Linked DNA regions of Lepisosteus oculatus. The protein of the gene in region 3 interacts with the protein of the main gene of each other region in a pairwise test. Links are inferred from orthologs where the notes say so. Each region holds a gene or a part of one and is shown on either strand. Other genes may lie near its edges.

Evidence for each region.
Region 1: the proteins of ube2wb (region 3) and amfrb interact in a two-hybrid assay, tested with the Homo sapiens proteins (2 studies listed by BioGRID and IntAct). The link is inferred for Lepisosteus oculatus from reciprocal best matches to the Homo sapiens genes UBE2W and AMFR.
Region 2: the proteins of ube2wb (region 3) and rnf26 interact in a two-hybrid assay, tested with the Homo sapiens proteins (2 studies listed by BioGRID and IntAct). The link is inferred for Lepisosteus oculatus from reciprocal best matches to the Homo sapiens genes UBE2W and RNF26.
Region 4: the proteins of ube2wb (region 3) and xiap interact in a two-hybrid assay, tested with the Homo sapiens proteins (2 studies listed by BioGRID and IntAct). The link is inferred for Lepisosteus oculatus from reciprocal best matches to the Homo sapiens genes UBE2W and XIAP.

The regions. Positions count from the first base shown.
Region 1 is NC_090715.1:3,658,150-3,666,406, forward strand, and holds the start of amfrb (E3 ubiquitin-protein ligase AMFR), read right to left. Parts: upstream 3,034-8,257; 5' UTR 2,652-3,033; coding exon 2,403-2,651; intron 1,556-2,402; coding exon 1,463-1,555; intron 696-1,462; coding exon 531-695; intron 152-530; coding exon 1-151. Other genes in the region: serine/threonine-protein kinase VRK3, read left to right, coding at 5,634-5,781, 6,499-6,639, 7,043-7,150, 7,414-7,551, 7,996-8,051. UniProt on the Homo sapiens protein: E3 ubiquitin-protein ligase that mediates the polyubiquitination of lysine and cysteine residues on target proteins, such as CD3D, CYP3A4, CFTR, INSIG1, SOAT2/ACAT2 and APOB for proteasomal degradation.
Region 2 is NC_090718.1:11,997,627-12,004,968, forward strand, and holds the start of rnf26 (E3 ubiquitin-protein ligase RNF26), read right to left. Parts: upstream 3,154-7,342; 5' UTR 3,050-3,153; intron 2,658-3,049; exon of another isoform or gene 2,464-2,657; 5' UTR 1,899-2,463; coding exon 504-1,898; 3' UTR 1-503. UniProt on the Homo sapiens protein: E3 ubiquitin-protein ligase that plays a key role in endosome organization by retaining vesicles in the perinuclear cloud.
Region 3 is NC_090701.1:53,366,611-53,373,775, forward strand, and holds the start of ube2wb (probable ubiquitin-conjugating enzyme E2 W-B), read right to left. Parts: upstream 3,233-7,165; 5' UTR 3,144-3,232; coding exon 3,129-3,143; intron 2,666-3,128; exon of another isoform or gene 1,739-2,665; intron 1,504-1,738; exon of another isoform or gene 1,420-1,503; intron 1,090-1,419; exon of another isoform or gene 1,074-1,089; intron 1-1,073. UniProt on the Homo sapiens protein: Accepts ubiquitin from the E1 complex and catalyzes its covalent attachment to other proteins.
Region 4 is NC_090703.1:41,702,214-41,710,448, reverse strand, and holds the start of xiap (E3 ubiquitin-protein ligase XIAP), read right to left. Parts: upstream 3,166-8,235; 5' UTR 2,868-3,165; intron 1-2,867.

The DNA.
Region 1 (8,257 bases), on a different chromosome or scaffold from region 3:
CAGCAGCCATGAAGGCCACAGTGTGCATTCCATGGGACAGCCCCACTAGCCCACAGACAAGAGCCAGCCCACAGCAGGAGATCATCATGGACACCAGCAGGGACAGCACTCGCACGTGGCTGCTCATGGGGGTGGTGGGCGAGAACGACAGCTGGGGAGCACACAGAGCATGAAGAACATGGGGTTCTGTCCCCTCCCGTCCATTTCTAAGACCGTTTCATGTGACCCAGTGACAAAATCACTGTATGCAAGGATTTGGCACGTCTGCAGGATGGTGCAGATTTCCTTCAACAAAAGTTAATAGCCGTACTTTCAGATTGCTTTACACATCCCACCATCTAAACCAGAGGAGCTGCTATAAGGTGACACCAGTCATAAGACATTAAAAATGAGGGTTAAACTAAAGACGGGAAATACACCTCATGGACTTCCAAAAGATCGCTTGTCTAACGAGCTGGCCTTGCGGGGCACAGACTGCATAGCAAATAACAGCACACACCTGACTTTTTGAATGGTCCAGTGCTACTTACATATTCAAACCGATCTTTGCAGAGCTGGACCATGAGATGCAGAAAGACCAGCACTGCAAACCAAAGGCACCACATGACCACTTCTTCCACAGTCTGCACATTCAGCACGCCAAAGATGAAGATAAACTTGTAGAAGATAAAGTTCCAGAACTTGTCCTTCAGGTGCTGCAGAGATTGACGGACAGATGCTAAGGCTCACATCAACAATTTTAACAGCTTTGCTAACACTCGTGCAATCACAGAATGTTGTAAGGTTGCTTCGGTGTTTAGCTGGCATTTCTTTTGGTGTTGGAGCTAAAATGGCACGTGGCTGATAAAGTTAAAAATTATTAGCTATAATAATTCAGTCCATAAAAAAGATTCAACCATTACTTAAATTAATCAGAAGGTTGCATTCAATACATAAACTTCACAGCTAAATAATTAAAAGACTGAGAAAAGTCAGACCAAACCATCACATTCAAGCTCTGTCTGAGAGGCTTCTCAGGGGATTAAAGTTGTTCAGTTACCAAATCTCTAGGCGTTTTGTGAATGATTAACAGAACAGACTTTATTGTCCACATTACCACTTAAATAAACTTGAGAAAACCGAGTTAAGCCTAATGTAACTTATATGTGTATCTCAGCATGAAGACTGACATCATGCAGCCTTTTTACTAAACCGGAATCCTCTTGACAATCTCGTGATGCAATACTGATGCACTCTGCTGTAACTGTGTAAACATGCTGTTGCACACTTATTTACTTAGATGTCTTGAAAACCCACAACATTTTCAAAACAGGAGCATACCTGCGTAACAAAATCACAGAAAAGGTGCCTGCTTAGTTTTGCGCACAATTAAAATTGAATCACTACAGTTTATCATAAGTATGAATTTTAGACCTCTCAATTTTCCAGGTGTGAAAAGGAAAAGAAATCCGATTCTCATTACCTGCCTCTCACTGACTCTCAGGGGGCCGAACACCATGTACTGAATCATTCTGGCAATCATCATCAGGAAGCAACACGCTGTGTTTACCAGGACCTGTGTTGTGGGGGTAAAACAGAGTCACAGGTACAAAAACAATCTACACTGTAATCCATGTGGCATCACCTTACATGTAACCTCTTCAGTAGTTTAGCGTAAAGCAACAAATGTGCTCAGTAAACATACAGCCACTTAGCACGGTTACAGAAACCCACTCAACATCTGTTTGCACAAAATCTGAAGTTAATCCAAGCTCCTGCACGATCGAATTGTTCAGTTGACATGAAGTCATGTTTTTTTTTTTTCTGCAACAAATAAACATTGACTGTTCTCATCAGCTCCCATGCCTGTGGAAACTTGAGCACTGCTGGTATTCCGATTAGTCCTAATTTTAGTTAAATCACTTGGCATTCATGGACTGCACCCTGGAACTTCAGAATATTAAGAATGGCGAGAAGCCAAACGAGTCCAGTCAAACAATTTGGCTTGTTAGGTGTCTATTTCTGTTTTACCGTTTTAAATGCACTTTCACACAGTTTCCATTTGTGCTCTCTGGTTCATGTTGCACTGTTGATACTGAAGATTTCTAAAATTTGAATCAGGCTCCTTGAAGTCTTCTCTGTTCCAAGACAAAAAAGGTCTTACCTAGGCTGATCCCAGAGCAGAAATATATTTTTATAAAGTGGTGACCAAAGCACCTTGAGATACTTTAACTTGAAAGGCAGCAGATAAATAAATAATACTCTCAACAGGAGTACGGGAACCGAACAACGGCATCACAGTTAGAATGACACTGTCAATTTAATTTGAAAATAAGAAATGAACACATGCCACCCCTTTAAAATGAATAACGTAAAACACAATACCCATCTGCATTGGATTCCTGTTTTGTCTACCTACATACCCAAACAAAAAAGCTGTCCGAAACGAGGTACCACAGCACATCTGCAGCGACTCCGTTCCCGACGCCGTCAATCTGGTTCTCGTCCTGACCCGGGCTGGGGTGGGGGTCTCCGGCTTCAGGCAGGCTGTAGCCCGGCTCGGTCACCGTGCTGTAGGCGCTGAGGATGCTCCCAGCCAGCAGGACCGCGCTCAAGCCCGTGTAGGTCCGCAGGCTGGGCCACGGGAACCGCTCCAGGAACAGCAACGGCATCCTGGCGCTCGACCGGCTCCGAGTTCAATAAATACAATCGGTTTCAATACCTTGTTTCACGGACTCGACACCGCGGAGATGCGATCAATAACGGTTTAAATTGGTTCTTTTTATTGAAGTAAAACGTTGTAAAAAAAAAAACCCAGTCAAACTAATTAAGAGTGACAGATTCAGGCCGGACGGACTACATGAGGATAAGCCAGTTCAAAGTTGTTGTCGATATATCGCATTCTGCGACATGGGGGTGTTGTAACCCTGCTAAATCCTGATGATTTTCTCGGATAACTGCAGGCACTTGTGTTGCTTTTGCTAATGAGTAAAAACGGGGCGGTTTTTTCTTACTCTCTGGCCTCGATATTACTAGTGTTTCCAGATGGATCCAGTTACTGCTTCAGCAGCAGACTTGCACAATCCTTCCGTGGCCCTGTTATACAACACAACAGCTTCGACAGGCTGACAGCACAACGGTTTCACAGCTGCTTGAGGACCGCGGCCCCGACGACTAGATGCAGACGTTATTTTAAGATTAAATACACTTTTTTAAGAGTCCATCTGATACGTTTTCCCTCCACTGTGATGCGGGTAAGGTTTAGTTGACTTGGCACCGGCCAGGGTCGAACAAACTATGTCAGCGACCTCCGTACTTTTTTACAAATTCGGTCTCCTCCACTCTTTTCTCTACTCGTCCTCTCAGTAGATGCAAAACGAGTCTGGCAGTGTTTATTTTTATTCCACAGTCCGTCTCCAGTTTCTAATTCTCGGAGTTTCCATCTGAGCTCCTCTTTTCCGGTTTGCGTCAGCGTCACTCAAGCCCTCCTTCCGGTTGTGCTGCCATAGAGTCGCTAATTCGTGACAGATTAGTCAATAGAAACTAAAAAAAAAACATTTCCAAATACTCTCTTAGAATTTAATGGATAATCCATTGTTGTGATCGATATTTTAGGTTACAATAACAATTAATTTTAACTATTCTTAAGTTTGGAAATGCTCATCCAATAAAGTTCTTACATTAATCCTACTAATTTACCACAAAAAAGAAAGAGGAGAATTAAGGAATAATGAATATGGGGAATTATGGGAATGATGAGTTCCGCAACACACAGTTCTATAATGTAAGACTTATCTTTTTTTTTTACTTTTTGAATTTCAAAATCACTCGCATCACTTCCGTGAGCGCAGGGGATAAGGGTTTGTGTCCCCTTATTTCAGAATATTTTTTATATATGTCGCCAGAGTCTTACTTTTCATAGATTTTCTATGCAAATTCTTATTTTCATAGATCTCCTATGCAAAATGCTCGGTTTTGAAACTGGTGTCGGCTAGTGGCGAAGAGCAGACGGCCCTGAACCATTTCGTAAGAAAGGCTGTGGCAGCTTGGATCACTCTGGGAGTAAATATTTTAAGAGAGACTTGAAAGCAGAACTGCCTGGCTGGAGAAAAACCGAGATTAGAAGCTGGTGCCATTCATTCTCCCCAGAGACATGATGAGCTCTGATGTTGTCTTTCAGACCTGTTTCCCCTCTCCTCCCAAAGGCAAGCAGGAGAGTTTTCATAGGTTAAGACAAAAAAAAAACATTCCTTCAGGACCTGACACTGTTCCAACTGTTCCAATAGTCCAACGAATACAGCATAGACTGTTGTATCTCTGTCATTACATAGCTTTTTGTATTAATCATTATTTCAACAGAAAGTCAAATTGTCAGAAAGTTACCAAATCCAGGTGAGGGACAGCTGGTCTCTGGGACTAGGCTGACTTTAAATTGACGTGGACTGACCAGTGTCTGACACACGGACTTTTCCTTTGGGGCATTTGGTCCTGGAACTGTTCTGAGAGGAAGTACCTCTGGTGGATAAGTAGTGTCATAGGTCCTGTGTAGATTGAGAAACTGTAATAAAAAGGTGTAATTATGTTGGATAAGTGTTTTGTCTGTGGGGACACTGGTGATTCATTAATAAAAGGAACCTATTGTGAGAGAAAAGGGTCCTAAGATCCTGAGAATGACTAAGCTAGAGGTGGCTTAGTCGGCTACAAAACAAAAGCAGTGTCTGCAATTAGGGGTTACCGTCTGTCACAAAAATTTCACTAACTATAAAATATTAATTGAACGTCACGCTTGCGAATCGCAGCACGTCTCGTTTTCAACGCCTTCGCTACGTCGGGACGCGCAAACCATTTTGGCCCAGGCGGCGCCCCGTCCTGTGACGTACAGCGGTGTTATTGTCACGTGACGCCGAGGCGGCCCAGTTCCTGAGGGGCTGGAGCTGGTCGTGCAACATGGTTAACTGATAAGTCCTTCAAGTAGGAGTGTTGACGGTTGTGTTTGGCGAGGGAAAGTTATATCGGTTTTTGTGGATTCGCTGGACCTTGAGGTACAATCTGCCCTCTTTTCGGTGACTGTGCAGCCTGTTTTGCACAGTAAAACTCACTTGAGTGGCGGTGCAATTGAGTTCTGCTGCTTCCGAGGTGTTAATACTTGTCTTAATCAGGGCGAGCCAGCGCCTCTCAGTCCTGCAGTGACATACCAGTGTTTCATATGCGATTGTTGTACGTCTTGTTAAATACAAACATGTATTTCATTTTAACAGACAAGAAGTGGTCAATCTTTGTAGGGACCTGTGCAATGAATATTAATTGTCGATCACGCTGAGCTTATGACAATGTGAGACATACTGAATAAGTTAAAACAAATTAAATACGTCTCGCAACCCGGGGTTTTGTATTAAGGAACACGTTAAGCAATCATCGGTTTCATGAAAACGTCAGTTAAATCGATAAACTGTTTTATATAACCCCCCCAGAAGCAATCGTCTGTAAGTGTTTATATTTAAGGGCCAAACTAAACGTGTAAAAAAGTGCTTTGAGTTGAGTGTCCAGAAAAGCGCTATAGACGTGTAAGGAATAATTATTAGAACCATGAAGGAAGTTCAGTCATCACAGTTAGCAGAACTTCAGCCTGCACCTTTCCTCCTCTTTCTAGCACCATGATCCTTCACTACTGCCCTCAGTGCGGCTCCAAGCTGCAGGCGGGCTTCAAGTTCTGTCCGTCCTGCGGACAGAAGCTGCCCACTGAGGACCCTGAAGAGGCTGCAGCCTCAGCGATCTCACAGGTGACCACCAGCGACCCCCCAGGTACGGGACGTCAGCGTGCGCCTTGCTGAAAGAGACAGACACCGCTCGGAGAAGCGGCTTGTGCTTGGATGTCTCCGTGCTTTTGATTTGAGTTACACGGGGCGGGGGGGAGGTTGGCTTTTGAATGACTGTGGAATGGTTACCATTCCATCTCGGAGTAAATAGGTTTCCATCAAAAAAGAGCAAGTAGACGTGTCTGTGGTGTCTTTTAAGAATTACACAGAGCAATTTACCTAAATCTCGATAGAGACTCATTATATACTGTAGATATATAGTTTAATAAGTTTCTAACCAATGCATTTCCAACATTTCATTCCTGTTCACTAATTGTGAAAATAGCACTCCAGTAAAGATGAACCCACTTACTCTTAGTTACTTTTCATCCTTCACTTCTGAAGGTAATTATGCTACTCTTGAGTAACTCACGGTGTTAAAGTAAAATGTCACGAAGGCTATTAGTGAAAATTGGTGGGCCAATATTGTAGTTTACTGTGTGTTTCAAGCGTTGTGCTTTTATTGCACTTTCTCTTTGCTTTCCAAGTCTTCACATGGTTTGAGTCTTGACTCATTAAACATCACTGTGCTCTGTTCTTTCTGACTTCCCTCACTGCCCTGCTCCTTCCCATACTCCTGTGCATGTTTAATTAGACATCCTGCAGGGTACAAGGGCAAGGGCAGCTGTTTCAAAACCCTGACGTGTGTTTCGTTCCTCTGCAGGTCAGAGCAGCCCCGCTCACGCCCCATCGCTCACTCCACCTCGCCGAACACGGCTGACGGCCGCCAAGGTCAAGGTGGAAGAGGAGGTCAGCTCCAGGACAGCTGCCTCCCTATCGAAATCCCCCAAGAGCCTCCCTGGAGGTAAGCAGGGTGGCCAGCCAGAAGCAGCAGTGAGTTGTGACACTGGGCGGTAATAATATAATAATAATTGCTTACACTTCTATAGCGCTTTTCTGGACACCCCACTCAAAGTGCTTTACAGGTAATGGGGATCTCCTCCACCCCCACCAGTGTGCAGCATCCACTTGGATGATGTGACGGCAGCCATAGTGCCCCAGAACGCTCACCACACATCAGCTATAAGTGGGGAGGAGAGCAGAGTAATGAAGCCAATTCATAGATAGGTAACGCAGTGGTGCACAGCTGCATGTACAGCATTCCTTGTCTTTCCCTTTGCTGAATGTGTTGTGCGTCTAGACATGGGCACGTTCAAGCACAGCAGCCATTTGGCTCACGGCCCTGACGCGTGGTCTCTGTTGTGTAGCTAGCCGTGCCCCGCTGTCACCGCGCAAACGCCAGGCGTCCCCAAGAGTCAAGCAGGAAGAGGAGAGCACCGCTGAGGCCTCACCCTCTCCTAAATCCCCCCTTGGGGGTAAGTGGACACTTCGGCTGTGGAAAAGGGGGGGGGGAGCTTCAGCCACAATGCTGGCACGCGCTGCAGATAGAGAAGGCCTTTCAGAGGCTCCAGTACAACTGATTTGGGAAATAACCCTGCTGGCCTTCCTGCATCTCCGCTGTGCAGACCACGCCAACGTGGGACCGAACAGGGAACGAGAGGAAGACGGGGCAATCGAATGTCAGAACGCAGATTTTGCAGAGTTCCCAGTGTTTCATCGTTCTTTCCCTAATCCTCAGCCAAAAGCACGCCCAAGAGAGCGCGGAGGATGTGCATCGAGCCCCTCCAGGAGAGCGAGCTGCTGACGGACACCGCGGGCAGGAAGTGGAGGCTCACCAAGCTGCTTCGCCAGAGCGACTCGGAGCTTTTGTACGGAGGTGAGCGAGGCCGGAGCAGTGCAGGACATGACCTTTGTGCTCTTTCAGCTGACTTATTCATAATATACAGTACCAGTCCTTTACTGCCCCGCTGATCGTCAGTGTTGTCCTTGTGTCACTCTGAATAGTGCGAGATGCCAGTTTATAATGATATGTGAAGTAAAAGCTCAATTTGTTTTATACGTGTTGCTGTATGAATATAGTCATTTTAGACCTTGTTAAGCAGGGTTTGCTCATTTTCTAGCCTGAAGTTTAAATGGTATTTGAACTGTTGGAAATGAAAAATAAATCTCTGCTGTGGAATCCTTGTCCTTAGTCGCTCTCGCCCGACATACACTGTGCAAATAGAAACATGTTGATTTGATACAGGAAACTGTTGAACTTTGAATCATCCCTCTGTTTACCTCTTTAAAATAAAACTTCTGTTCCTTAACCTCTTTTCAGTTCAACAGATTACCACTGGAGCCCCCACAGCTGACTACAAATACACCCTCAAACTAGTAAGTACCCATTTCAGATGAGACATGGCAGAGTCTTGCAGTGAGAGACTGTTTAATGTACGCAGCCCTTTTCAAGAGCAGTGACTCTTAATTTCACTTCTACAGTATGTCTAGGGGTTATGTGAGCACTGTTTCTCACTGGGTATAGTTCTTGTAAGACCAGAATGACGGTTTTCAGTTCCTGTTTAATTCCCAGAAGGGAGTCT
Region 2 (7,342 bases), on a different chromosome or scaffold from region 3:
AGCACCAGGCAGGAATGCAATAGGACCGGCCAGACTATATTTCCGTGCCAAAAAAGAAGGGACTACGGCTTCTTACAGATGAGTTAATGCCGTCATTTACCATATATACACAAAACAAGAAAATGAATAATAATGTAAAAAGTCCATCTCAAAACGAGAAACAGTTTGAAAACCTTGCACACCTTCCAGAAATGGACTGAAGTAAGATGATAAAATACCGATGGAACTGCATTTTCCAGTCCTGGCTTGATCACTCACTTGGAGTGACATCTTGCTACTTGTCTACTGATGGCTGATTAACCATTCAACTATGTAGCTGCCTTTTAGAGCCAGAGATGGAACAGACTGGAACATCTACAAGTGTAAATTAGTGTATGAGAGGCTATCTAATTAATTGAGAAGCTGGTTCATTAACCTGCAATTCACCCTCCTGCCAGCATCAATAGCAGGCACTGCTTTTCCATTAGTGTAAAAACGTGCTCGCGGTCCTCAAGCCCATCGGCTCAGAGATATACGTCCATGGTCTGCAGGATCATCTGGCGGCAGAGCGGGCAGTTGTGCTGGTAGATGGGCTGGCGCAGGAGGATGTTGGCGCAGTCCCGGCACAGGCACAGGTGCCGGCAGGGCAGCAGCAGGACGGTCTTGACGCAATCCTGGCATATCACGCACTTCTTCCTCTCCTCGTGCTCCTTCAGCATCGTCAGCAGGCTGTCTGGGGGCGGCCCTCTGTACCCCTCAGCTGAAGGGCACCTCTGCAAGGGTCTGTCCATGCTGGAGCTGGGGGTGGCAGAGGCAGACTGGGTACTGTTCTCGGGGGGCTCGTCCCCCTGCCCGCCCGCATGTTCTGGGGGACCTAGGGCGTGCTGAATGAGGGTGGCCGTTCCGCCCACTGGAGGTCCTTCTTCCTCCATGACCCCTGGCTGCCTGACCTCCCCGGCGCCAGCCCCCACACTTCCTCCCGCTGGCGTGGCTGCCTGCGTAGCCCCTCTTCTGTGCCCGGCCCGGCTGCCCGGCCAGGTTCCTCGCTGCCAGACGTCCGCCTCCACCACGGCCTGCGCCCGCGCCAAGGCGAGCAGGTAGAGGCGCTGCAGGACCCGCTGGAGGCGGTAGAGGGCGGGCACGGTGCTGATGTAGTGGAGGGTGCGGTCCGCCCCGCGCCGGGACAGGTCGGGGTTCAGGTAGAGGGTGGTGGCCGAGACGATGCCCAGGGTGAGCACCAGGCCGTACAGGTTGAGCAGGAAGACGCTGATGAAAATATGGCTGAGGGAGCAGAGGAACTCCAGCGCCACCTGGCAGGGCGTCCACAGAAGGATGGCCGTGCCCACCAGGCTGCTGGAGAGGTAGCTGAAGAGAGTGAGGGCAAGCTCGAGGGCCTTCTGGAAGGGCCCGGACACCACCTCCCACGTGGCGGCCGCCAGGGCGAAGCAGTTCTGCGTGCCGATGAGGAGCATGTTGACGACCGTGTTGACGAAGTAGAGGACGAGGCTGAGGGCGATGCCGCAGCCGTCGCAGAGCTGCCGCAGGACCGACTGCCCCGACAGCAGGCCGCGGTGCAGCAGGTCCCTGGCCCGGAGGAGCACGTGCGAGGAGAGGTGGCCCACCATCTTGAAGCTCTCCAGGACGCCGCAGAGGGCCCGCAGGCAGCCGCCCAGCGCGTTGAGGGAGCCCTGCGCCAACCCCACGACCGCCTCCGCCGCGGACAGCAGGCCGAGCAGAATCAGGTTCCAGCAGCCCAGCAGCGCGTTGGTGATGAGCGCGGGCAGATGGTAGATGAAGGAGAACACAGCCCACAGCAGCCTCATCAAAGAGTTGACGACCCAAAAATTCAAGTCCAACATGAAGCACAGCAAGTCTATGGATCGCCCGATGAAGCAGAACACGAAGTACACCAGACCCATTTCTTGCTTGGTTGCTTTCCTGATTAGTGTGGGGTTTGGAATGTTTTACGGATATTCAGTAGCTTCCTTTTATTTTTATCGGGATGACACAACCACACGTGCTATTTTCTCTAAATGCTACATTATGACCGTGAAAGCACTTGTGTCTGTTTTATTCCTGTGCGATTTTTCTCTCCACTTTCAACCCATAGATCTTTTGCACATTTACAGTTCCGATTCTTAATTAGAGGTTTTGTCCGTTTACAAAAATACAAGGGAATTAAAATAAGACGGAAATCGTATACATTGCTCCTTCAAAATTCTAGTTTGAGAATTAAAGAACCTTTGGAAACGTAGACAACCGTTGAGGATTTTACTAAACGCCGATACTCTAAATCAACATCTACGCAAAATAACCCTTTGCAACGGCATTTAGTTTTATCTTAGACGGTCAATACTGACTTCCCAATCCAAACCTTCTGCACTTCATCAATCAGCAAAGCAGCTAAGAGCTGGAAGGGGGCAGGAAATATCTTCAGTCTCTTCAGGGACTACGATGGTTTATCTCGAAATGAACTCTTTGCTTCTGGAGGGGGGAAATAAACAACGACAGCCACGATCAAACTTTTTATGAAACTACCAAACAAAAGTTAGATTGCCCTGGCCGCGGCCATGTTGTTTTCGGTTTCTATCAGCAGAACGTTGAGCCGATCGACGAGGTGCCAAGGAGATAGCCAGGGTGAAGCAAGCGAGCGCCGATACAACAATCCTCCACGTTATCTATAGTACAAGGTGTGCAACCGCGCGTTAAATCAACGTGCTCTAAAAAACAACATGCTAGACACACTCCAAACAAAAAGGATAGCTGAAGTAAGATGTTCATTAATCATTCATCACAGGGTTTCGCACAAACATGCATAGACGTATTCATGCCCTGTCTTTATACCACACAAGTAGTGTCCCTGTAGATGCAGGGCGATGTATAAAACATTAATCTGCGCAGTACTAGTTCAGGTATGTGTGTTGTTCATACGTCTAATGCATATACTAGGTCTTTATAGAAGAACAGTGTTCCTAAAATTATTCCTTATGCTTTATCACATCCTAATAAAGTTATAATATAATAATCATAAGCTTTTAGTACATGTGTGCGAGGTAAGGGTTAATCCCACCTGGGCTGTGATTAGTCTGTTCAAATGTAGTTTTGCGGTTTTGTTTTCCAAACCGGGGAGTGGCAGAGGCTGAGAGGCATCTCTATTGGTTCTTTCAATCGTAAACAGGCGGGGCTTCTTTTGAGCAAGAGAATGTCTTAGCCCTGTTCCAATTTTCAAATAATAACATGACGAAGACTTGTTCTGTATGGTATTGAACGCTAGGTATAACTAAATATGTTCTGGATACCGAGCTCGTTAAAAAATAGAGAATGTGCAATCACGAAATTAATAAAACATCAGTAAGAAATAGAATCATTTGGGACTTAAAGGAATTTAATACACACATTTAAACCGGGATTAAATTAATTCAATTAATTTTACTCGAGTGCACCTTTAATAATTCAAATAGTTGATTCGCTTTAAACGAAGTATAGATTTCTTTATCCGATTGTTGGCTGTATTGATAACGTTATATTTCGTTCAGTGTTTCTGTATTTCGTTCTCCGATTTACTGCAGTGCAGCATTCCTAAAGTACAGTTGACGCTGCTCATTCAGCTTCAATACCGTGAATTAACTTCAATGCAGTTTTTTAAACAATAACTTCTCTCATCACAACCCATGACGAATGCTGGACTGGGAACAAAGTTTCCGGTATATCATTCCCAATACTTCTCAGACAATAGCTTACAGTGTAGAGTGAAGTGATGTGTAAAGCACAGAGAAATGTGATTGAGCAGGCGTTCCCAGTCCTGATCCCGGAGATCCAGAGATTGTTTTTTCTTCCGGCCACCTCTCAGTTACAAACTGAGCCCTTATGATTAATTAATTGACTGAATTAATTAATTTAAATAGAATACATTTAAACTGGTTAACTCTTTTCAGCTCTTAAACGTGTTGGAGGTTACATTTTAACTATTGCATTTCCTAAATTAAATAATATCACAAACCTATGAGTAAGAAAAAAAAAACTTGCTAATATTCCAGTCAAGCAGCGAATTAGTTCAGGTAAGGTTTCAATGAAATAATGAAACTTTGCAGGAATGTGTGGACCACCAGGATGAGGAAAACCTGTACAGGATGAGACCTTGTAGCAGAGAGGGAAGGAAACCTAGAGAAAACTGTAGCAACAGGAATGGGTGGTAAAAATATTTATGCAAGCACAGCAGAGTTAAAGTGCAAGGTACACTTTCATGAGGGTCTTTATACAGCAAAACTATTCTAAAGCAAAGGTTTCTGGTTTTCTTCCCACCAGAGTGCTTTAATCCTAATTTGAAATCATTGTTTGCTTAATTGGATTAATTGCAGCATTTCCTTGTTCTTAGGAGGAAACTGCAATGCTGTTTTTACATTTCGGGGGTATAATGAATCGGTAATGAAACTACCAAGAACACTCTAATGTGTACAACCTCCAATTTACATCACAACAGAGACAAAGTTTCAATACACGTGTAGCACCACACTGCCATCATTGTCTGTGATTCAGAATGAAGCAACAAAGCTTCTGGTGATGCAACAGCTGCCCTATTACATTGTAAACATGCTTTAGACCAAGTGAACATTTTAATGAAGCCACAAGAAATATGTATTTAGATACTTTTTAGTATTGTGAATAAAGAACAACCAGGTGAAATACACTCATAATAATTAACGTTGTTAGGAGACCATGTTTCTCATTTGTTTACAGCGACTAGTGAGCAGAAAGGGCCACTTTCATGTCACAATTCTCACAAACTCTCGCTCTCGCCCATCGAGATGCCAGCGATTTCTCGTCTGCCTGCGACAGCCTGGTGACCATACAGTACTTTCACAAAGTTCACGATTTTACCTTTTGCAATACCATCAAATAATTTGTTTTGTCCCCGAGATTTAATAACGAGGCTGTGACCTTAAAACCCAGCTGGATTTCGGTGGTTGAGGACCAGAGTACAGCTCCCCTGACAAAACGAGTTCATCACATCAGACACTTTCTCTACAAAAAGAGCTCGCCCGCATACTTGCTTGAAAACCAAGTAATTCCTAAAACATTTCAAAGCCTACACATGCCCATGTTTGGTCTCAGAAAAAAAATATTTGCCTCTTCCCCTGCCCTCTGAGAATATCAAGCTATTTTTGAGTTCATCCCGGGCAGTCAGAAAGTTTTTTTTTCTGTATGTTTTTTTAGACATGATGAGAACCTTTCTTTTGGGGGTAAAAGAGGCACTAAACAGTCTAGTCGCTTGCCAAGATGTGGGCTCTGCCAGTGTGAATCTGGCCGGTCTGCAGATTCTTCCATGATTGTCGATGAGCTGGCTGCCCAGACTGTGAGCGTTTGAGATGTCAGCATCTGCGGTCTCCTGGCCTCTTTACAAGTTCAGAAGTTCTAACCCACTTGCTTGGCTGTATATTATTAATTTTCTCTGTCTTTCAGCATTCCTGTAATACAGTTCTACATGGTGCAAATCTGATTAACATGTAAAATTTTATATTACAGCTCAGGGGCTAGAAGATTTTTTTCTTCTTGCATAAGGAAAGAATGTAGAGCAGGTGCTGAGCCATTATTAACTTTCACGCTGAAATATTGTTTTATTTTTGCAGCTGAGAATTCCTGTTTTTCAGTCCATTGTCAGCTTTGGCTTGATCTTGTGTATATAAAGGGAAATATATTAATATTCATTCATTTTACAATTTTACTAAATATGAATGAGAATATGAGGTATCACTGCCCAGCTCAACTACTCACACATGGACTTCCATCCATACATTTTCTAAATGCTTTATCCCCTACAGGGTTGCCAGGTTCCAGCAAGCAATGGGTGCAAAGAAAGATACACACTGGGTGGGTTCCACTGCAGGGCAGACAGACACAAACACACACTCTCAAACATTAGGGCTAATTTTCCCAGAAGCCAATTAACCCTACACGAGGAAACTGGAGCACCCAGAGGAAACCCATATGAACAATAGGAGAACATGCTCCGTGTAGATATTGAGGAATTGAGCTCATGGCCCCAGCACCACGAGGTAACAATGCTAACACCTGCTTCACAATGCCGCCCACACATGCACTAAATACATGTATTTATTTGGACAAGATACACAATCACAGGTATTTAACAACAGCACCCTTTCATCCCACACAACCTGTGCATTTAATTGATAGTGGGAACCTATCCTGCACAAAATCTAATTATAAGTTACAGAGAGGAAACAAAACCCAATCAAAGCCTATAATTAAAATTAAATATATAACTAATAAGGAAGACAAAAAATAATTTCATTCTTATGACAAAATGCTTAAGTATTTGCACATTGATCAGCACAAATAAAGATTAGCTATAGCAAAGACTTTAGATCAGGAGTGTTAACTGCAAAATGCATGAGTAAGACTTCCCTTCTAAGATTCTGTACAGCATTAGTCACCACCTTAACACCTTTCAACTACACTTGCTAGTGAAGAGATTACTCTCCAGTTTTAGTCTACAGTTCAATATTGGTTGGATTTTAGACATTTTGACCAAAAGATCACACAAAAGTGAGGGTAAATGGTCTTATATTAAAGTAACTTTGCTCTCCTCAGGCAGTGTGCTTCCCCATCCTATACATTCTGTATATGAACAGCTGTAAAGCCCTTTTGAGGAGAGACAACCCCTTACGTTTGCTGATTACTCTGTCATTGTCAGTCTCCTATAAGACATTGACACTGATGGCGGAACAACTCCTTCCTTCCACTTAATGTGTCAAAAACCAAAGACAAGATAATTTATTATAGAAAGTAATGACCAGCTGCAAAACCCACAGTCATTGAAGAGCAAGAAATTGAAACTATCAACAGTTACAAATATATTGGCACTATTGATGATTACAAACTAACCTTTGAGGAAATATACAGACGCCAAATATAAGAAGAGCCAACAGCGATTGTTCTTCTTCAGAAAACTGTTTTAATGTGTAAACTACAACATTAACTTTATTCTATAGAACTTCCATTAAAACTGTCCTAACATTCACTTCAGTAGCCTTGTATGGTAAGCTTAATGCATGCAATAAAACAGACTGAGCAGGATTCTGAAGGTAGCAAGGTGCACAACAGCTACAGCTTTCAGATATCTATGTCAAACTAATACCGGTGAAGGCCAATATAATCATTGACTGTCATGACCACGCCTTGCACAGTGAATTTGAGCTCCTTTCATCTGGCCATCAGTTATCTTTTATTCCCACAGCTATTAACCTGTAAGAAATATACTGCTGCTCTGGAATCCATCCAGCAAAGATGGATCCCTTTAGTCTTGGCCAGAACAGTCGGAGTACGGAATGCTCTTCCAGCCACA
Region 3 (7,165 bases):
AACCAGGTTCTAGAAGGCCGGTGGTTTGCCTGCAAGGTATTCCAAGTTTCTATAAAGTAGCAGGACAGGACAAGACAAGTGGGGAGAAGTTGTTGGGCTGGCTCATCTGGGACAACAATGAGCTAATGCAGGTGGTTAAAAACCTAGCTGGACTGAACAACTGCCCTCCAGGTGTCGGCAGTGAAAGACCAGTCAGTGCAGGAGCTCAAAGGCTAAAGCACATCAAAAATGACTGGCTGATAAGCGAGGAAGTAAGGAGAGCAATTCCTCATTCACCCTGGCAGTACAGGGGGGACAGCCGTGAGCATTCACCAAGAGAAACAACTGGAAACTCTATACTGCGTGGGTATAAAGCTGAAAACAATGAAAAACACAACGGTCATTCAGACAACTGCCTGAAGATATTATTAACGGCAAGACTGCAACGTGAAGGTAGAAGGTAGAGTTATCCTATTCCAGAACAGTGGACATAAAGTAGACAGCTTTGCCAAGCTTTCGCAAAACAAAAAAAGGCAAGAAAAACTAATTTTCTAACTAGTGACTGAAAAAGTCAAATGAGTTTTTTTTTACCCATCTCAGGGTTCCAGGTCCACACAGGGCTACGCGGTCTAAAGTTTTCAAACAACTCACCAAACAGGAGTTATAGGAATAACTGTTTTTCATTAAAAGAACGAGGGCGTGCAGAAAGGAAAAACTTATAAAGTGGGAGAAAAAAAAGAAAAGATCTGAAATACTCTATAAAGCTCACATATTCAGGTAAATGCTTTTAAAAACAGAACTATTCCGAAAAAATCAGGGATCAACATAAGACCTTAGGAGTCACAATCAGCCTTACAGTAGCTCCTAATGATTGCTTGAATTATTTAGAATATTTTCTTTTAGAGTAGGACTAATCCAAGACAAATTTTTGAAAGGTGTCTCTTGTCAAATTTGTTGATTACATGAAAGCTCCGAGGCTCCCAGAAATAACGATGACAACTATAAATAGCTTCTGACCTGGGGGCTGCAGTACATGCATTTCAGATCTTGGTGAATTTTGATGCCACACTGCTGGAGTATAAGGTGTCTTCCCCCAAAGGAACACGTCCACTGTATGCAAGATATGAATCAATACATTTCCAAGGTGAAGTCATAAGTCTGGGTCACCTTCTTCGGATACAAGAGGAGCAAAACGCATTTACGGTGTTACAAGAATTTTCCAGGCAAAAACACTTTAAAAACTGACTGAGACCGTAATGTAAACGATCTGTCACAGATGTGCAATTATCGTGTTTTAGCTTGACTGTTTGCACAGTACTTGCATCACTATCCAGTTTGTCCCTATTGTTGTTTTTAAACCCTATTGTATCCTTATCAAACCCCAACAGAATCAAAGTTACACTCATCACACGAGCCTTACTGTCATACATTTGTTTTTACCTTATTGTATCTCCTTGATGGATCCCTGTACTTAGTCACAATGCAAGCTCTATAGATTCTGTAAATCACCCTGGATGAGGGCACCTGCCAACCAAACAAATTAAAAGTGTCGGCGATTGGAGTCACATTTATTCCGGGTTCCCAGCTGGAAAGATAAGTTTCAGAACAAAAACAGCAGTAAAAATGACAAAGAGCTGCCACGTCTAACTACACGTAAAAAGAAAAAGCAAATTCCTCCTGGCTTTTTGTTAACATGGGTTACACTTACAAAACAAGGCTGCAAGAATGATTTTACTAGTCTCCAACAGAATGTACTCACATCTTCAGAAAAGCATAGCGATTGTGACGGTATGAAATTTGAAATGGCAACTGTTTAACACCCGATCCAAGCTGCCTTGGTTAAAAAAAATAGTGTAGGACTGACAATCTCTAAAAAGTTTCTTCTAATCTATGATATGGAGACACCCTTGCTAAAAGAATACAAGACCAGTCCAGTTATATAAGCTTTTAGCAACCAGTTTGAACTGTGCATACTGACTTTTCTCTACCAAAGACCTCAAAACCTCCCAAATCAAAAATGTGTGGAAGATGACACCAACAGTATGGTGAGGAGGAGTGGGGGGCATTATTTTCGTAGGCTAGTAGGAATCTGGATCTATAAAAGTCAGTGCTGAGTGCAGCGGTCGTGGAAGTCCGTCTCCGACTAAAAGCATGTGTCTGTGCGTGACAGCCCTTCCAAACACAAAGAGGCAGACACCGGTAGGTGCTCTGTGGTCCGAGCGATCTCAATCACTAAAAGCCTAGCAACGAAAAAAAAAGGGGCCTCTCTGAATACAGCACCCGTGACAACACCACAGAAAACTTCTGCGAAGAAGGTCATTGTGACGGATTTTTTTAAAAATAAACACACGGCGTTCCCGACGCCAGAGGCATCATGAGGAATAAACTCATTATTCCAAATGCAGGAGCGCCGGGAGCGCTGATCTGTCCCGTTGCTGGGGTTGATACAAGGGCCAGAGCTACCCCTGAAGAAAGAAAAAAAAAACACCACCACCTTCACCCCCATTCAAGAACCATCTGCCGTAACGAATATTTTACGACCACCGCTCATCACTAATTTCTCGAAATTAGAAATTGCTCCAAAGCGTCGAACGACCCCCCCCAGCTAGAACATCGACAAAACTCAAACGCACACTTGTTTTGTTTGTTTGTCTCTTTTGGGAAACAAATGCACTGTGAAGCAAGAGCCGCCTACGTCGTTATTCGTCTTCAGTCGTCTCCTTGCAGAAACTCCAGGAAACATCCTGGTTTCTACTTTGAAGATCCCCTTAGTCGTTGTTACGTTTCTTTTTTTTTTGGCCAAAAAACAAAAAAGAACAGCACACACTTTAACACGCGTCCACACATCTCCGATGACTAGCTGGACACCACGTCCCGATCTCCAGGTACCGCCGCGATCACCTGTGCGAGCACACAGCCCCGCCGCTCCAGCTAGGTGATACACCACCAACACGGGCTGCGGGCAGCCAGGCGCCTCTCTCCGCACTTCCAAGCCTCCCCCGGCCGCCACTTCCGACTCCCAGGCTGGCAGAGACCACCGCCGGGCACCCGCCTGCCTCCGCCGCGTCGGGTGTCGGAGGCAGGCGGGCGAGAAGGAAAAAGCGGACCCAAACTACACCGAGCGGCTCCGGCTCCCGTTGGACACTCACCTGCATGGACGCCATGTTGGAAACCCCCTGCACCAGAGCGAGAGACGCAGGCTGAGCTTTACGTCAGGGCGTCACGTGGACCGGGGGCAGTCCTGTGTGTACAAAACAAGGACACCGGGCCGGGCGTGAGGCAGCTGGGGTTTTAGGTCTAATACTGTCCCGTCTGGGAGGGACTGGGAAAGAGACGCAGAGAGAGAGAGAGGAGGTCGTTTCAGGCAGGGGCGGACGTTATTATTTGAGTATAGCAATGGATACACCAGAAGAAAAACCGAAACACACGAATGACTTACACTTTTGCTGATCAGCAAAATGAAACCTGATTTTCAGAACTCGTATTTCATTTCATTACACTCTCCGGTGTCGATGTGTTTGGACGCAGGTGACGCCTGAAAGTCCTACTGAAAATCCTGAAGTGAAAGGGTAGTGATCCCATTGTCTTATGCAGAATACCAAAAAGGAAGATAAAAAAAAAGTGGGTAGGTTTTTACTGACGTTTGATCTTTTACTCCTGTGGAACTATCCAAGGTAAACAGGAAAGTCTCGTTAAAAATCTGGACCAAAGCAAGATAATACTTTTTGCTTGGGTGCTATTTGCTGTGTCTGTTCTGTGCGAAATCATGGGTTGTCTTGACTTTAATTCTAATTCAGGGAAGTGATGAGTAATAAGCAACCAGAGAGCAGCTTGTAGTCTCACATGGTGAAGAAAATAGTTACCACAAAAGCAGAAAAATAGTTCCCACATGCTACAAAAAATCATGCAACTATGTGCAAGTCTTATGTAGATTTGCTTTTCAACTGCACTGGCAAAAATAAACGATGGTTCACAAAGCTCAGAGGCCAGATACCTGTAGTGTGCACAATTCTAATTGCCAATAAGGAAATAGCCTACATACTGAAAAAGACTTGCAGCCAAATGGTAGCTAAACGTTTTCTGTCGCAAACTTTTAAGAAGCTAATTGGGCAGCACATGCACATGGTGACTTGTGCTACTGCCTCACAACTCTATGGTCCTGGTTTTGATTCTAGTTAGAGGTGTCTGTCTGTGGAGAGTTTACATGTTGTCCCTGTGTTTGCATGGCTTTTCCCTGGTTACACTCCCCCTCCAAGGGATCCAATTTAGGCTAGACCAATTTCTCCAGATTGTCCTTGCTCAGGCCTTAATCCTAAACAAGTAGGATTCCTCTGCCAGCTGTGGGATTTGAACCAGCAACCTTCTAGCCATAGACACAGATCCTTAGCCACAGTGCCACCCCTCCACCTTTATTACCACACCTGAAGAAAGCACCACAGCCAAAACGTTGTGTTTCTTTTCTTCTCTTTTCAGCATGGAATACACCTTTATTTGTTCCTTTGCAGCCAATGTATGCTGATGCAGCTACCTACAGGACTTGAACTAAGATATATTATGTTAAGTAAATGAAAGATTGGATCATAACTTGAAAAGTCCACTTGAAAAGGTATCTAAACTTACGTTACATATCCATGGTTAAAAGTCTTCAGACCGAAACTACACTACAGTTCAGCAGTTTCAGCACTGTCTTGGCTCAAGACAAGGAATACATGTCATGGACAGTCAAATGCATACCGATAGAGTTGTATTAAAGAAAAGGACATAAAAACGAAAACTGTGTTGTACAGGATTCTGTACTAGGGGTTATCATAGCTGAGGAAAGTTCCAGAAACATAGCAGAAAGCTTTTCACAGACTGATAGAGAGGGTTACAGAACAAGACAGTCTACCTTCAGGAATCTTGTCTCAGCCTCCTGTTTGAATTTGGTTTTATCAGTAGTATCTGAAAGTAGGTTGCCTTGGAATTAATAGAAAAGCCTGTCATTATGGGTGGGGTACAATAAATGCTTTTAAAAACCTTTTAGATGCTGTCTTACCTCATGGATGATGTACCGATAAACTAAGAAGAATCTTTGCAAATCTACTTATACATTGAATAGATTTACATTTGTTGGGTATTGCAAACACACCTTATCACAAAGAAAACAGATGACATTGCTGAATGCCATTTTCCTTAGCCAGTTACTTTATTTACAATAATTGGTCATTCAGGTAGATGGATGTTTGCCCATTATGCCTTCCGACATGTGGGAGCAGTAACATCCTGTTGTTGTTACTGTATCATTAGTTGTTTTACAGGCCAGGGTTGTTAGCCTTGTGCCCAACCTCCAGCATGGAGGACCTGGCACCAGACGTGGGACACAAACCCACTACCCTGAGATAATGAGTCTCATGCTCTACCAACAGAGCTAGTCGGGGCTTCATTCAGGTAGGAGGCTTTTCTAAATATATTTTATGAAACATAACTTTATATGATTCAGAATGGATCTATTCCTTAAACTCAATGCAGTCCTCCTGACCATCTAATTAGGGAAACAAGATTTGATTGTGTCAGGTCAATGTTACTGATTAAAATTTCAGTTGCACTGGGTACTATTCAATAATAGCTTAATATGTAAGATCTGTTTCTTATATACCATGCACATACACCTACATGTACACCTAGAATAAGTGAACTGAACAATCATCTTTTTTATTGAGGGCAGCATTTTTACATTATTATTTATATTATAAGATATTTTGTTTCAATTAAAACTTGAACGTTGCTTTTGTGTTGCCTTCAGTTGTGAATTAACTGAAATGCCTTTGAAATGCATGTTCTCACAATACGTGGAATAAGACTTGTCAAGCTTGAACTGACCACATTGTGAAGGTGAAAGTACCAGTAATTCCAGAAGTACAGGCGTTGTTTGAAAAGTATGACACGTCTTCAGGTCCTCAGCATTTCCCTCTCTCCCACATACCTGAAGCAGGCTTGTCATTCTTTCTACTTTTCTGTGTGCAGTTCAACTAGATTTATTTCAGTGCTGGAATCATGTTTTGTTACAGGTGGAAGAACTGCCCCGTGGCTCAGATAAATAATCCCTTATTAATGTTCCCTTAAGTGTCTCATTACCTGTCTCTTGTTCTCTACAACCACCATCTTTGTCCTTTAGTGTAAAACTTTTTCACAAGCTCCAAACCTACATATATTAAACACCTTTTCTGACCACCCCATCATCTCATATCGCCGACCACCTAATCTGTGTGACCTTCTTGTTCACATCTCCCTTGACCGCCCTCAACAATCATCCACACCAGGTACATTCCCCTGCAACAGAGCTCGCTGTATCACCTGCAAGTACATATCTAACACCACACTCATTCAAGGTCCCTCAGGACAATTCCGGATCACTCAGATGACATCTTGTATCCTCCACAACCTTATTTACTGTATCTCTTGCACTAAATACCCAGCCATCTACATTGGGGAAACAGGGAGGAGACTGTTAGGGCTGTGAAGATTAAAGATTTCTCCAAGCCTATTGTTTCTCATTTCACCTCTGACAGCCATGATTGGCCACTCTCTGTCCCCTGCTCCCGCCTCGCGCTCCTCCTCTCTCCCAGCTTTTGTTCTCCCGCTACATTACCTTTGGCTACTGCCCTGTCTCTCTCACACCTGAAGAAGGCACCATGGCCGAAACATTGTGTTTTCTTTCTTCTCTTCTCAAGCGTGGAATAAACCTATTACTTGTTCTTATATAAAACACCATCCTTATCAGTTGATCTAGAACAAAACAACTCTTTTTTTCTGATGGTTTGAATTATCCTGGCTTTACTTTTCAGTATTGCCAACTATTCATACTAGTCCAGAAGGTATGAACCCAGTGGTATAACTACACCCCTTTAACAAGCCAGTGTGTGCTCCTGCTGTGCAGGGTGATTGCATGAGGGCTATTTCTGCTAATCCAATTCATAATAGCCTTAAAAGGACATCTGAAACTGCTAATACTGAGAGTTTCTGGCTGAGGCCCAATCCTGCATGAGAAAGCACAGCTCAATGGAATTCATACTGGATTTCATTGAGGAAACAGAGCACCACTTGATAGAGAAGGCTATATTTTATCATCATTATGTATGATGCTGCGTCATTGTCCCATACACATGCTTATACATTTACATAAACTACTCTTTATATGAATTTCATA
Region 4 (8,235 bases), on a different chromosome or scaffold from region 3:
TAATAAGCACAACAGAAATATTGTAATTATGCATTATTCAAATTCTTATTTTATGTTCACTAAAAAGTTAAAGTAGGTTTTCAATATATTGTTAATTCTTCTCTTACATATTGTATAATATGTTAAGTTCTGGGCTATAAGATATACAATACATGACAAAAAATAAATAAAAAAGGAACAAGAGGATCACAATTCCCCTTTTAATACACTCAAAGGGGAAATTCATTTTTCAGCGAGTATTGTTTCATAGTTGGAGAAGTTCCCATAAAAAGGTATTTGTATGGGCAGTATAAAGGTGCATTGAAGAGAACAACATCTTGTTTCCCTGAGATCAGTCCTATATCCATTTTAAAGTAAACTATTTTTATTCACTGACTATAGCATGAATTAGTTTTTTTTAAAGTACTCCTCTCAAATCAATTTAGGTCTATCCATGCAGTCGTACTATAAATTGCTGTAACTGCAGTTATAGTTTATCCTGCTTAAGTATATACAGTAATCATCAAACTGCCACCTTCATTAGTTTTTGAAGTGTGCCACTTTACATTTTGCTCTCTACTCCATTAACTGTCTTCTAAATTCCCCAAACTCTGTAGGATCTGGACTGTAACATTTTGAAAGTCAGCTGTATTATTTAACATTCTCATGCAAAAGACACACTCAAAGAACATGCAGGTCAGGCACAATGAAAAATCTTCATGCTGTAATGCTGTAAGGAAACTATGGATGCTTAACCACATGACAAGAATGAAATAGGTAGCAACAGGGGTAAAGCAAATTGCTTAAGTTAAATTGGACATTTCACTCTGAGTACTAGAGGGATTCTACTACTCACATCTCAAACTAGCTTTGTAGATTTTGTTGTTCACAGAGTTTTGAAAATTGTTCAAAATATTATCATAGTCATTTATGAAATACATTCTTGACTACACTAAAATACATACACAAACAGCAATTTCAACGAGGTAGGTGTTGTGAGTGGGCACTGCATTTTATGAAGACTAGGGAATTCTGGTGTAAGAGACTTAGATGAGAAATGATGTGTACCTAAGATTTAAACAAGGGTACTGAACCTAGCTGCTAGATTTGTTAGTAACCAGCCGATAGTACATTGTTCATCAAAGCAAATCATGAATAGTGTAAGGGACACAAAGTACAGCCCAGGAATGCGGCACTCCCTTACAGTCTCTTAACACACCTGGCAACCTAAGATCTAAACTAATAAATTACTGGATAAAATAATCCTTACTCTCGCTTTAACATGTAGATTATTGTTAGAATTTAATAAGAACTTAAACGTGTCCAAGCATACAAATCAATATTGTGTAGTTGCATGAGCACTAGGTTAATTGTTTAGCAACAACATACCCCGATCAATCACAGCCCTTGTTCCCACACTTTGAACCTGTAACACGTGTCCTTTTCAAAAAACAAACAAACATTTGATCCTTCTAAAAACAAGTTTCACACTGCAAAATGTCACACAAACCAAATTCATAATAAGTGACACAAAATGAAACCTATTTTGAAAAGGAGCAACATAATTTTAACTAATCTGGTATCTTCCAATAAGATTAACTTAAAACTGTAATAAAACTAAAAACATTGGTAGAGGTCTTACAGACTCTAACCTATTATTACAGACCTATAATAAACTCACACACTGGTCATTTTTAATTTACTGTAAGCAAAGTTAGATACAGCCAATACCAGAGCCATAACAGCTCAACTACTTAACCTATAAAACTCTCCAAATTTTGTAGAGGGCAGACTTTTCTTAAAATAATGTTATGTATATCTATTGTTCCTACAAAGAGACAACACTACATAAAATTGCATTTAGATAAACATGCCTCAGTTAAAACTCCTGTTGTTCTTCAGTTTAGTGTTTAGGGGCTCTGGATTTTTAACTGGAAGATGGCAAGTTAAAATCCCATCACAGTTGTACCATTGAGCAAGGTATTCAAAATAATGAATTGGCACTTCCAGACAGTAAATAAGAAAAAGGTCTGTCTATTGATTTACCTGGTTAAATATTCAATAGCATTTTAAGACCCTAATGCTAAGAACCCTGATGTCTCTGTTGTTAAAGACATAACACCAATAACCTATTAATAAAACATCTTGTGCTATTGCAGAATTTTCTTTAATATTTTAAATGAAAACCCAACTAGATCTTAAATGTCCAACGGCACCATGCGCTTGAAAGTGTTGAAAGCTGGATTACCGACACCGCCAAATTCAATACACTGTAAGTACACCAAAAGCCAAAGTATACACTTCAGCTTCTAGTATTAATATTGTTCTCGTATTTACATTAAAGTAACCCTTAATGTTTCTCATCTGTAGGTAAAGTAATCTCACCTTTCATACATGAGAAATTCGTATGCAGTCTGTTTCGTAAGCGGTAAGCAAGCTAAATCTATATTTAAAACGCAGGAAACATTCTTGCTCATTATAGGGAAAATATCTAGAATTAAGTTACTGCTATAAAAGTAAGATATTCAATTTGACAGTGTTATTCTTATCATGTTTAACTAGTGGCTGAAACTAACATGTTACCGAAAGTACCAGGGATCCCTTCATGGTTTCGAAACACTAACTGAAAGTGTCCAAGTCCATGACATCTCCGACGACCGCAAAATCTTTATAAATTTCTATGCTATATTTCAGTAAAATGCGCATTCTCATTTCGCTGTATATTTCCGAACGTATTCCTGGTACTATCCGGATTGTAATGCAAAGGAACAAGGTGATGTACTTTAAACAATTATGTCCTATCTGGCACCGTTTCCCTAAATAAGGCATTTAAATACTGTAAATTTTCATGTTCTCAATAAACATAATTGCTACACGTTGGTACTTACCTGTCACAGTGTGTGTCCCCTTTCGCGTCCTTAGTTTGATTCCTCTCCGGGTACCTTCTCTTTTTTCGCTTGCTTTCCGTACAATTTATGTTAAAGAGCCGGAAGTTACGCATGTGACATCAAGCGCTTTCAGGAACAGTGGGTAGCATGGGGGTTTTCAAACCTTTTTGATTGGAGTGCCCCTTGCAGAAATTCCCTCAATAGTAGTCATAAATTATAGGCAAATGTCTGTCATTATTGTATCTCTAGTATTAAATATCAATTACTAAAAGCAAAACGGTACAGCTGTATCATAAGCGCTACCAGTGTAGACGTATCACGAAGGTCTGTATTTTCCCTCTTCAGGGCGAGTAAGAAAGAGTGTTCTCGTTCTCTCTTCATACTGTGAACAGGAAGTTATCCGTAACTTAAAAAAAAGGAACAAGCTACGTTTTAATAAAAGATGAAATATTAAATTAAGCTTTAACAAACGCCTGCCACATTCCTAGATAAATGCACACGACCAGTGTTATTCTACATCGAAACGGCTGTTTAGTTTTTATAGTTCTAGTAGCTATATCATCGTGCAACTGACAGCCCACTGAAGCTAAGCACATGGAGCCTGGTCAGTACCTGGATAAGAGACCTCCTGGGAAGGCTATGGTTGCTGGTGGGAGAGGTTTTAGTGGGACCAGTAGGGGGTGCTCACCGGGTCTTTGTGGGTGCTAAAGCCACAGTATGGCACAGTATCTCTGCTGTTCTTTAGAGGAGGCGTTAAAACGAGGCCGTGATTCCCTGTGATCGTTAAAAACTTCAGGGCCTTTCTCAGAAAAATTAGGAGTGTGACCGCCCTGGTGTCCCGGCCAAATTCCCCCCGGCCCTTGTCAAGTTCAAATTCAAGTTTATTTGTCACTCCAGCCATGTACAGGTATACAGTAACAATAATTGCTTACACTTATATAGCACTTTTCTGGACACTCCACTCAAAGCACTTTACAGGTAATGGGGACTCCCCTCCACCATTGTGCAGCATCCACCTGGATTATGCAACGGCAGCCATAGTGCACCAGAACGCTCACCACACATTAGCTATCAGTGGGGAGGAGAGCAGAGTAATGAAGCCATTACTTAGGAGGCCATGATTGGTAAGGGAAATTGGGAATTTTGGCCAGGAGGATGTGGTTACACCCCTACTCTTTTCGAGAAACCCCCTGGGATTTTTAATGACCTAGGTTTTATATCTCATCCAAAGGACAGCGCCTGTTTACAGTATAGTGTCCCCATCACTATACTGGGGCATTAGAACTGGCCCCAGTATGCTGCTGGCCCCACTAACACCTCTTCCAGCAGCAACCTTAGTTTTTCCCAGGAGGTCTCCCATCCAGGTACTGAGCAGGCTCACACCTGCTTAGCAGCAATAGGTTGCCAGTTGCCAGTTGTGAGTTGTGAGTTGCAGAGTGATATGGGTGCTGGCATAAGTGGAACTAAATATCAGTGGAACTAAATATAATTCCTCCTGGTCCACGGTGCAAATACAGACAGAACACTGACATAGACATTGTAGACGGGATACATATAGTGCAAATTACAAGGCAAATACATAATACAATATACACAACACACTGGGGGGATTTAAACTCAGGTGCAAGTAAATTCCAAGGTGTTGAGGAGCCTGACAGCGTGTGGGAAGAAGCTGTTACAGCTAGTGGAGCTAGCCCATACACTGCAATATCTTTTTCCAGATGGTAGGAGGGCAAAGAGTTTATGGGAGGAGTCATGTACTATACTGGAGGCCTCTTATCAATCACAGCCTCCTAATAATCCCCATCTATAAATTGGCTGCATTACACTGTTCTCCTCCCCACTGATAGTTGATCTGTAGTGAGTTTCTGACACACGTTGGCTGCCGTCAGACAGATTAATGAAGCATTAACCAGCTGTGGTTGCTACACGTTGGTGGTGGTGGAGAGAAGTCCCCATTACCTGTGAAGTGCTGGGAGTGTAGTCTCCAGAAAAAGTGCTACTTATGTAGTGTAATCATTCTAATTTATTATTTACAATGATATTTTCTTTAGCAGTTGAGAGGGCAGTACAAGAATTAAGTGAATGTGTGTAAAATGTATGACAGAACTGTGAACCTAACAGCAATCCAAGAGGCACGTATTCTCACAGCTCTGATTATCGCACGGACCTGTAAAGAGGGAAATGGAATTCGGTTCGGAACACAAGTCGCTATAGCGCCACCTTATGGGAGCAATGATATTGCACAGCATTGCAGCGGCTTTAAATGGGATTTTTTGTTGCTGCCTTTTAGTAAACGAGTCATACATGTATAATGTATTCAAAATAATTCTCGATTGGCATTGTATTGTAACTGTTTGATCAAACACCAAAGTATTTGGTGTTTGATCCAGCTAAAACTACAGGTATTCGTATTTGATATTAATAATAATTATTATTAATCATTTGGATTATATATTTGAGTCTTCTATACTTGAGTTTTTGTTTGTTTGTTTTTTTTTTGGGGGGAGGGGGGGTCTCGAATCATTACCAAACAATGATTACATTATTCTTTTTGCAATTTAAATTTAGGCAAACTGTTTGTTTGTCTATCAACTTTGCAGAATCACAATAATATATGAAAAGAGCTTTGTCCCTTGTGGTTATCAGGTTTCAGAAGTAATCAATTGTTCATAAAACTGAAACTTCTGGGGGTAGGTTTTGTAATTGCACGGGTAAATATATTTTTTTGTCTTTAAATCAATAACAAGCAGTTGAGAGGTATCCTCTACCAGCCTTCTAGTTCCTTGAACAATAGCTGTCCCGCACATAACTATAATTTCATTCCAAGATGTCTGTAACTTTTGTTTTTAGCAATCAATATACATTTTCCATCTGGTGAAAGGTTTGTGGGAAATGTTAATTCATCAGTATTCTGTGTATACTTACTGTATTTATATTTCACAGTGTTTTTAGATGTCAAAAACCTTTGCTTTGCTTAATTACAATGGCAGCAAATGATTCTTTTCTATTAAACTTTTTTCATTGTGGCCATACTTTATACAGTGTATATCATGCAGAACAATTAGGGAATGATGCTTTTAATTAGTGTGGACATGGTCTGTACAATGCAGTTTGTAAGTTCTCTCTATGTTTGGGTGGGTTTTCTCTCACAATCCAAAGTCATACCGACTTACACTTTAATACGCCAAAAGAGAGTAGATGTCTTGGGTTAAAGTGGAAATCTGTCATGTTAAACAAAATGAGAGATACTTTAACTTTCTTCACAGCTCTTGGATCAATTTAAATATTTTATCATTTGTATATGGTCTTGATTGGAATGGATATTCTATACTTTTCCATTCATCCATTTTCTAACCATTTTATCCAGTTCAGGATCGCAGGGGAGCCTGAGCCTATACTGGCAAGCAACAGGTGGAATGCAGGGTACACCCCTGATGGGACGTCAGTCCATCACAGAGCACACACACAAACACATGCACACACTCACAGCAGGGCCAATTTTTCCAAAAGCCAAAATAACCTACCAGTATGACTTTGGGCTGTGAGAGAAACCCCACCCTAGCATAGAGAGATCTTACAAACTCCATCGTACAGATCATGTCCACCCCATCTGCAGTACTGAGAGGCAGCAGTGCCAACCACTGTGCCACCATGCAAATATAGATTTTTGTTCAATTACAATATGTAGCATTAAAAATGAAATAAAATACACTGCCTGAAGAATTATTACAATGGGATAAATGTCTTTAGCTATATGAAAAAGTTCAGGCCAGAAGATTCAGCCTACAGAAAACTGCACAAAATACAGCTTGACTTCTTTGTGAAATTTTGCAGTTTACAAGCAGGCAATTATATGGGAAGTGGGAATCAATAACACACACTGTGCAGGTGAGTGTCCCAAATACCAAACCCCCATTTTTAAGCACTGAAAAACTCGGGCTGTGAAGGCTGAACACCTATCCTTGAAGTGGCAGAAGCTTAGCATGGGAATGGCATTCTAACAAGAAACCCATAAGATATTCAGGAAAGGAAAAGCAAAGGAAGTGTAATTGGAAGAGAGAGGACACAATGTGCTTGGCTGGCTTCCTGAGATATGTTAACAAATAATAAAAACATCTGTTAGAACGAATAACCTGTTGTAAAATGAACAAGCTTTTGTGACACAAATAAGGTAAACTTAAGCTGCTGCGTCTGCTTTTAATTTTTGAGATTTTTTTGTGTGATGGTAGACTTAGTCACCGTCCACTATCCTTTTCTGCAGATCGAATAAATCTGGTTCTATTGAACTCCCACTCTCATATTTTCTGACTCCTGGTTTGGATTCTAACAGTTTTTTGGCATTGTGAGCGGGGTTCCCCAAGGAAGGAACTTTCCGAAGATGGCAACCTGGTGCTTTCTAATGGTGAGCACTGTTTTTTACCACCTTCAGATAGGGCTTGGGGAAATCTACCTGGCTGCTGGTTGGGGAGAGTTCCGTTGGGAACTCAACACACCTCAACATTCTCAGAACTCAGCATTTACAGAGGGGCGAGTTCAGGCAAGCATTCAGTGAAATAACAGATCTGTTGTGCTGTTGTGTCACACAGTAAGAACTGTATGGTTGAACTTCGTGCAGGGGTTGTTCTCGCACTGTGTTACTCGCACTGTAGGACCAGGTGTCGGATGAACTGCGTACAGTTAAAGTGCAGTAGGACTGGGTGACAGAGAGCTGTGGAGTTAAAGTAGTGCGTTAGGACTGGGTGTCAGTGGAGCTGTGTGCAGTTAAAATCGTGCGGTAGGAATGTGTGTCAGTGGAGCTGTGTGCTACATGGTAGAATCGGGGGTTGGTGGAACTGTGTGCAGTAATTTTGACCATGTAGATTGTGCGTGGCTTTGTGAGTCAACTGAGCAAGACACCTGTGCAGGAACTGGGTGCAGTAGCAGTGTGCCATACCGTAAATATCCCAGAATGAATAAACTCAGTATGCGATGCAGAAACATAAGAAGGTTAAAACATGAGAGAGGGAAGCGTGTTTGTTGATAGGATGGCAGTGTACGTCAACTGCTGGAGTGGGGATCTGGTTAGATGGAAGAAAAGACAGGCCACGGTTTTTATTCTATGTGGAGAGACCTAGAGGTCAAACAAATAATAAAACAATTGCAAGATGAAAATAATGCCGTGTAGCCACTGCGTTCTGGAAACAAATGCAACACCTAGTGAATATGAATAATGAATTGTAGCACTAAAAAAACTTACAAAAAATGTTAAAACTAATTGCTTAAAGATGTGTGTTTTAAGAGCTCTGGTTGTGGCTGTGTGTGTCAAAGACAATGGCGCAAGTGTGTTTAGCCACCTGGACCAGCTAGGTAAGACTAAAGAAAATAA